Linked DNA regions of Nothobranchius furzeri. The protein of the gene in region 1 interacts with the protein of each later gene in a pairwise test. Links are inferred from orthologs where the notes say so. Each region holds a gene or a part of one and is shown in the gene's direction. Other genes may lie near its edges.

Region 1 (3,922 bases):
CACCTCCTCCTGAGTTGAAAACCTTCTGATCTCCTGTTAATAGAATGTAATGATCCCTGGGAGGCCGATTCCACACACTGTTTACATCTTTAAATATTGGTGCGTGTCTGTGTGACCGTTATTTGTATGTTTATTGATGAGCTCTTGTAAAAGCCCAGGAGTCTGCCTAGTTATTTCCAAAGAAGCTGAGTGTGCCAAATTTCAGCGCCTTGACACGACATTCTAATTCTGAACATGTTTTATGTTTCATTTGAGTTGGTGTTAGGTCTTAGTTTTTGCTGCAGAATGGAGTCTGCCTAGTTATTTCCAAAGAAGCTGAGTGTGCCAAATTTCAGCGCCTTGACACGACATTCTAATTCTGAACATGTTTTATGTTTCATTTGAGTTGGTGTTAGGTCTTAGTTTTTGCTGCAGAATGATTTTATTTAAATTGTCCCTGATGTGGCACTTTATATAGCCAAAGCAATAAGCATTTAGACTGAAAATGAATTTATTACCAACTTTGTTTTCTACTGCTATCTAGGTGTAATCATGACAAATTCAAGCCTCTAAACAATCTTAACTGTTCAACAGTACTATATATATATATTTTTTTTAATTTCTTAAAGAATATATTTCTTATCAAATACATTAGTGGAAATGTTCTGGGTGCTTATGTCCAACAGTTATTGGATGAGAGGCAGAGTCTGACCTGGACAGAGTCTCAAAGGGACAAACTTCTACTCACATACACACCTAGGGTCTAATAGAATTGACAATTACTCAAACATGCATGTTTTTGCACATTAGGAGAAAGCCTGAGTTGGTGTGTATGGAGAGAAAATGCAAACTATGCAAGGTTCCAGCTGGGATTTGAACCCAGGATCTTTTGATGCATGGCAACAGTATTTATGGCATTTCCGTGTTCTTTGTCAAAATAGTAAAATGTGGCTATTTAGATTATTGTAATGGGAATAGAAAAAAATGTCAAATGAACAAAGTTGATGAAAAATAAACTTTGATACAAAGTATGCTTTGTCTAAGAGTAACCTGGAAAAAAACTGGTTTCCTATTATAATTAGTTTTCAAAACTGAAATAAAATTTGTGTCAATTTAGTCTTACTTAATTTTTGCATCACATAAATACATTTTATTTATTGTTTTGCTAAAACGTTCCCCCCACTAGTGAGATACAATTTTAGGTTTTTGATTGCAGTCCATTATCTCAACCAGCAGGGGGTGCACTAAATCGCTGCAACCACTTCCGCTGACCCGGATGTGAACACGACTTTTATTTCCCTTTTTCTCCAGGAAGGATGCAGCATTTTCTTCGTTTAGAAACATGAATATGTTTAATGTGAAGAAAACCTGAAGCATTAGATTATATTTATCTTTATTTTTTAAGTTTCCACCAGATAAATTCCTGCTGACCTCCGTAAATAATCCAACATGTCTCAACAGGGGTATCAGTCACCGGACGACAAAAGGTTTGTAGCGTTATTATTTACAAGTTAAATTCAAATCATTTACAGAAACTAGTTAATGATTTTATCTTCTTGTGTGCGTAAAAACAACAGTACGGTTTAAATGGACGCTTCAAACCATTACATTGAAAACCAACGGTTATACATACATTTATTTCTCCTATTTAACAGATTATAGATTGTTTTTGTGATGAAACAACAAAATAATTTTATATTAGAAGTAATCATGAAATACTCGCAATTAGCTACAGTTCCTATTTTTCCTAAACAGTTTGGTAGACACCATATAAAATTCATAAAATATAATTTGTTCAACCAAAATAACCCCAGATTAACCTGTAACAAAGGTTGCATGTTATTGTTTCTTTGTTAAATATAAGTTTGGATTCACAAGAAGCAGAATGGGCCAGCCTGGGGAAGACCCCGATCCAAATCCTGCATGAGTATGGGACTGCCAGTGGGAACGCTCCTGTGTACGAGATGGAGAAAGCTGAAGGAAGTGGCCACCAGCCCAGCTTCTTCTTCAGCGTGAGAGTTGCAGACATTCGGTGTACAGGTAGGTACTACCTAGGTACTTCCTAACTCAGGAGGTAATTTATTGTTGAGGTTTCATGCTGAAAATCCAGTTAGAACTCACTGATCACGTTACAGGTTAGTCTTTTGCTGCTGTAAACTCTTAAATGCATCATCAGCGTGTCCCGTTGCACTTCCAGCGTAGACCTGTGCAAAGAAAATTAAAAATAATTGCAAAAATTTTAAGCTAGAAATTAAAATCTGTGATAAGATTCACTTAATTTTGCTTTTGAAACAAATTTGTTTCGTTATATTTTATTTCAGGTCAAGGTCCTACTAAAAAGGCTGCTAAACACCAGGCTGCAAGTGCTGCGCTGAAGCTGTTGAACCTCGATTCTAAAAAATTGTGAGTGAAGTCAAAACTATTTGCTTACCATTAGTTCATTTACCTGGTTTTTACAGCGAAAACCAAAGAATGTACAGCTTCTATCGGGGTCTCATATGTGAATATTTTAATGCTGCTTAGGCTGCAATAGGAATTTTATTTGTAGTTAAATAATTTGACAGCATTATCTGTAAAGTTATAGAACAAATATATTCAGCAACGTCAGTCGTCAGAAGTTTTGCGTTTTGTTGTATTTATTTGATTTCTTATAACTGTTGAAGCTCTAATGTGTTTGACGTGACGCCCAATAGGACCTCTCCTGGGAAGTCCGACACCAACGGGGATGCAGCGGATGCAAACTACAATCCCAGCTCTGTGTCCCTTCTGCAGGTGTGATCACGTTACATCTTTTATATGTCACGTTTGCTTTTGTGAAAATGTAAAATTATTGTTTTATGTAATTTCTGACGGTCTGTGTTACAGAAGAGAGTACTTATCTTGCTGCAGCTGTTTTACAGTCATGTTTGTATTATTTAACCTTTAAGCAACTGATCAAGGGTGTCATTTTAGTTAATTATATATCATTTTTCTCTTCATATTAATTGACCTAAAATTAAAAATTATTATTAGGAGTTAACGATCCAGAGAGGATGGCGTCGGCCTGAATATGCAGTTCTAGCTGAGTCTGGTCCACCACATCAGAGGGAGTTCACTGTCGCTTGTAGATTTGACTCTCTTACAGAAAAAGGAAAGATTAAACATTTTTTTCAGTCATTTAAATAGTTTGTTTGTTTTGGTTCTGTTGTTTTAATCCTGTTTTATTTATTTATTTATTTTTAGGTGTTGGAAGTTCTAAAAAAGCAGCAAAAAGGGAGGCTGCAGAGAAAATTGTGGCAAAGCTTCAAAGTTTGTCAGGCGGTCCGGAGATCACCTGGGTGAGTCAGGTCTTTCATTTCACCTCCTAAAACATCCACAAGATGTTTGAAATGTTCTTGTTGCTGGTTTTTCAGACTCCTAAACCGAGTGTCCTCCTCGAGAATGTGAAAAAGTCCTCCGCAGAAAAGATTTCCCTACTGAGGAGAAGCCCGCTGAACATTCCCAACGCGGATTACATTCAGATGTTGTTGGATCTGTCCCACGAGCAGGGCTTCGAGGTCACATACTATGATATTGGTAAGAATTTAGTGCTTTGGTTGATGTTTGGAGGCTTCTTTTATCCCGAAAGGCAGAAAAACAGACTCAGGGGAGACCCTATGTCTGCCTGTAGAAAATCCCTGACTGTGTTCATGTCTGACAGATGAGCTGACTGTAAACGGACAGTACCAGTGCCTGGCAGAACTATCCACCGACCCCGTCACCATGTGTCACGGCACCGGCATCTCCTGCAGCAACGCTCACAATGTGGCGGCACATAGCGCGCTCCAGTACATCAAGATCGTAGCCTCCAGCAAATAGACACATCCGCCTGACCACAGCAATCACAGATATCAGCTGACGGCTCGTCATAACAAGGTCCTCCTGCAATATGAGCTGAAGATCGGTGAAGTGTGTGTTTATTATG
Region 2 (3,822 bases), about 19 Mb from region 1:
GCCTGTTTCCATCAGCCAAAGTGCTTATGAGAGAATAAGCATGCTGAGGGAAGACGCCTGAGGGGAGGAGTGAGTGTTTCGTGTTTGTGTTCAAAACCTAGCTTGATTGCAGATCCACATTAGCAGCTTTAACTTCCAAATCAAGCAAAATCATTTAGTCATACAATAAATAAACTTCTGAGTTTCAAAACAAACCTTTACGTGAACCAAAAAGCAAAGGCCCACTTCACACGGCAAATAGACGATTTTTACTCTATTCTTCTCTGAAGGACCACTACAAATCGGAGAAACTCAACATATTTCATCGTCTTGGTCTGATATCGAGGACAAATGAGCGAGTTGCTTGTTGAATGTGGCGTGTAGCCAATCAGGAAGCGCTGTGAATAAAGCGCATCACATGCTCCTCCTCAGCCATGTTTGTTCTCTCTGAGGTCACGCTTGATCTTGAGAATTTGTAAAAGCGTTCCTGTTTGACCAGGGAATGTTCGGATGTGAAGGTGTTTGTTTGAAGTGTGTAATTTGAAACTCCTGCCATGAGATAGGGAAAACAGTGCAGGACGTAGTGAAGTGGACACTTTAAACACTGCCCAGGTGGTTACTATTTTGTGGTCTGACTTTGAGTGAGAGGCAATGTGCGACTAGTTTATTTCATTTGGGATAATTCAGTAGAAGTCTCTCTTGGTTTCTGTCGTTTTCAATCCCATTAGTGGTCCAAGAACAGCAGAAGCCTGGTTTTTGTTTGTTTCCCTTAAACGTTCAGCCGGAGATTTAAACTTTGTGAAGATCCAATGAGAACTTATTTCACATCTGGTGTTTGGGTTTATCTGTTTGTTGTTGCCGTGATTTACTGTCAGAAGGGAGATGCTACCCAGAACTGTCATGTCAGACTCTAGCATCCCTGTTAGGTAAACCTCAGCGGGTCATCCCCGTTTCACTTGTTGCTGTTGGGATGCTCGCTCGACAGGTAGATAGCGCTCGGGGGGAGGATAACATCAGACATGCTTTGTCAGCTGACATATCTGAGACAAGCTTTTGTTTGTGTGGCTATGTGCATGTCTTCCTGCTGTGTGTGTGTGTGTGTGTGTGTGTGTGTGTGTGTGTGTGTGTGTGTGTGTGTGTGTGTGTGTGTGTGTGTGTGTGTGTGTGTGTGTGTGTAGGTTCTGGCTGATGCCGTCTCTCGCCTGGTGGTGGATAAGTTCAGTGAGCTGACAGACAACTTCACATCCCCCCATGCGCGGCGAAAAGTCCTGGCAGGAGTTGTCATGACGACAGGTAACTTCGGGGGTGGGGGGGTTGATGGTTTTGTGTTTACAAAAAGGGATTTTAGTACCGTATTTTCTGGAGTATAAGTCGGTTTTTTTATGGTTTTATGTGTTTTTATTTCTTTATGTTCATTTCTGTTGTGCAGTGCTTTGTTTGGTCCTTGGCCATGTGAAGGCGCTATATAAATAAAGTTTAGCAGTAGTAGAAGTAGAAACCTGGAGCGGAGCCGGCCCGCAGCAGCGCGGTATACATAATTTGGTATTTAAGTCACTTTGGTATATAAGTAGCAGGACCAGCCAGACTATGAAAAAAAAAGTGCGACTTATAGTCCGGAAAATACGGTAAGTTCAAATTTTTTGTTTAAGGATTTAGAAGCAAAAGCCTTTAAAAATAAGTGTTTTTTGTCCATAGGAATATTTATAGTGCTCACATTTTGACTTTGTTGTGTTTTAGAATCTTTTTTTATCCCAATATTTACAAATTTATACAGTTTTTTATTTTTATTTATTTATTTTCTATTGAGCCATGGATGCCCACAAATAGGATTAGCTGTGGCTAAAGTGTCATATGATGAGTTGTTTTATTCTGAAATCCCAATTTTGTCATGATTATTTGTTATTTCTAACTATAGTTTTGTTGTTTGTTAAAGCATAAGCCTAAAATACAAAGAAAAGAGGCAATCATTAACAGTTAGCAGCCCAATGCTAACTTGTTAGCATGTTCCCACGTCTGGTAATTTACCTAATTATTTGATAGATCATCAGCTCTCTGTTAGGGTATGTTTACAAAATAAAGTAGAAAATTATCACCATGTAAACAAATCCTCCTTTTTAATGAATGCACATTAAAGCGATCAGCATCAGAGTGTGTCGCATCTTAAACGGTCGGGGTGGAAACAGTTCTCTGTTCGCAGTCTTTCTGTTAGATCTCATTTTATTCCCTTTTGCATTTAAACCCTATTTCTCTAATATGCTACATCCTCCTGTTACCCAGGCCTCATAGACAAAAACACATAAACAGAAAAATAAGCATTTTTATTGAAACCAACACAACTAACTAAAATAAAAATAAAACAGTCATTTGAAATAATAAGAGCAGTTTTAAGGTGACCAGGTTAAAATGAATCTGTAACACGTTTGATGCACAAGAATGCTTTTCCTTCATTATTGCTTTTATATATTTATTAAATATATGAATTAATTTTTGCATACCTGAGATTCATGTAGTCTCTGATGAATCTGCATCGTGTTTCTGCACAAACGGGCTGCTCCTTCTATCTAAACAGGTCTTTATGGTTAACGTAGGAACGTTGTTAACTGGAACATTGTGTTATTTTCTCTCCACACCGATCCTCGTTGTCTAAATCAGAACAGAGGGGTTTTTTTGGGCTCTAAAACTCTGTGTACTTTTTTTGTTCAGCTGCACAAACAGTTAAGTAAACGCTTGAGCCATTTGCTGTAAAGCACAGCGATGCATTTGGCAGCAGAGGAGATGAATATGTCTGCCAGGAGCTGGTGAACACCATCTACAGCAACGGGGGGGGACGATGTTAGCTGTACCGTTTAAAAGGTCTGAGCTGTCGTGGCTTCACGTGTGTTTAGTTTAAATTCTCGTCCAGCTTTTTTAACTTTAGTCTTTTGTAAACAATACAAATATGATGGTTTTCTCACTGGACATGTGTTAACCCTTTAACTTCCTCTTCAAGAGAAAAGCAAAGGAGATAATATGATGACATTCAGTTGATAATAATGGAAAGTAAATATATTTAAAGGTGTGGAACACTAAAAAAACATTTTTATTGATTATTTCTGAAAATAATCAGGCACGCTCAGGCAGAGCTATTCAATTCCGGGCCTGGAGGGCCGGTATCCAGCATGTTTTGGTCTTAACCCGGCTTCAACACGCCTGATTTCAGTTAGTAGGTGATTAACAAGCTTCTGAAGAGCCTGATGAGCTGCTGCAAAGGTGATTCAACCACAGAATCAAGTGTGTTGGACCAGAGAAACCACTAAAATGTGCTGGCTTGGAATTAAATAGCCCTGCTCTTAGGTTTTCATGCAGGCTGAACATTTACAATAGTCTCCTACACCTGTCTCCTGCATGGCTTCTGATAAAAACTCTAGGATTAGAAGATCCTGACACATCTACGTCAAACTGTCACTAACATTCATGGACTCACCCATCTTGACTCACGACGGGGAAGGCTGTTGTTGCTTTAACAACCAGGAAACAGCAGAGAACGTCTCGGCTAGTAGAAGCTAACCGTTAGCATTAGCAACTCCACCACACTCCTCCATTCTTGTGTTATTTGTGGTGATAAAACATCAACATTACAGAGTTAGTGGTAGAGTTGTGTTGCTGTTAGCCAATCAGAGGAGAGATGTCTAAATATCAGGAAATAAGACCGTGACACCTGTTGCCTGAAGCTCAGCTCTGATGTGGGTCATTTCTTGTTCCTGAAACACGCGCACCGGTGTTTTTTTCCCCAGAGTACGACTTACAAGGCATTCACTTCTGCTAGAGACCACTGCAGGTGTGTTCTTTAAATGAGTGAACTAC

Evidence for each region.
Region 2: the proteins of prkra (region 1) and adarb1b interact in binary tests that used the Homo sapiens proteins (3 or more experiments, as listed by UniProt). The link is inferred for Nothobranchius furzeri from reciprocal best matches to the Homo sapiens genes PRKRA and ADARB1.

What each region holds. Positions count from the first base shown.
Region 1 is NC_091754.1:21,792,932-21,796,853, reverse strand, and holds the start of prkra (interferon-inducible double-stranded RNA-dependent protein kinase activator A homolog), read left to right. Parts: upstream 1-1,276; 5' UTR 1,277-1,428; coding exon 1,429-1,466; intron 1,467-1,843; coding exon 1,844-2,019; intron 2,020-2,300; coding exon 2,301-2,382; intron 2,383-2,672; coding exon 2,673-2,751; intron 2,752-2,991; coding exon 2,992-3,110; intron 3,111-3,202; coding exon 3,203-3,296; intron 3,297-3,371; coding exon 3,372-3,534; intron 3,535-3,658; coding exon 3,659-3,816; 3' UTR 3,817-3,922. Other genes in the region: casp10 (caspase-8), read left to right, coding at 1-29. UniProt on the Homo sapiens protein: Activates EIF2AK2/PKR in the absence of double-stranded RNA (dsRNA), leading to phosphorylation of EIF2S1/EFI2-alpha and inhibition of translation and induction of apoptosis.
Region 2 is NC_091754.1:2,531,539-2,535,360, reverse strand, and holds part of adarb1b (double-stranded RNA-specific editase 1), read left to right. Parts: intron 1-1,157; coding exon 1,158-1,272; intron 1,273-3,822. UniProt on the Homo sapiens protein: Catalyzes the hydrolytic deamination of adenosine to inosine in double-stranded RNA (dsRNA) referred to as A-to-I RNA editing.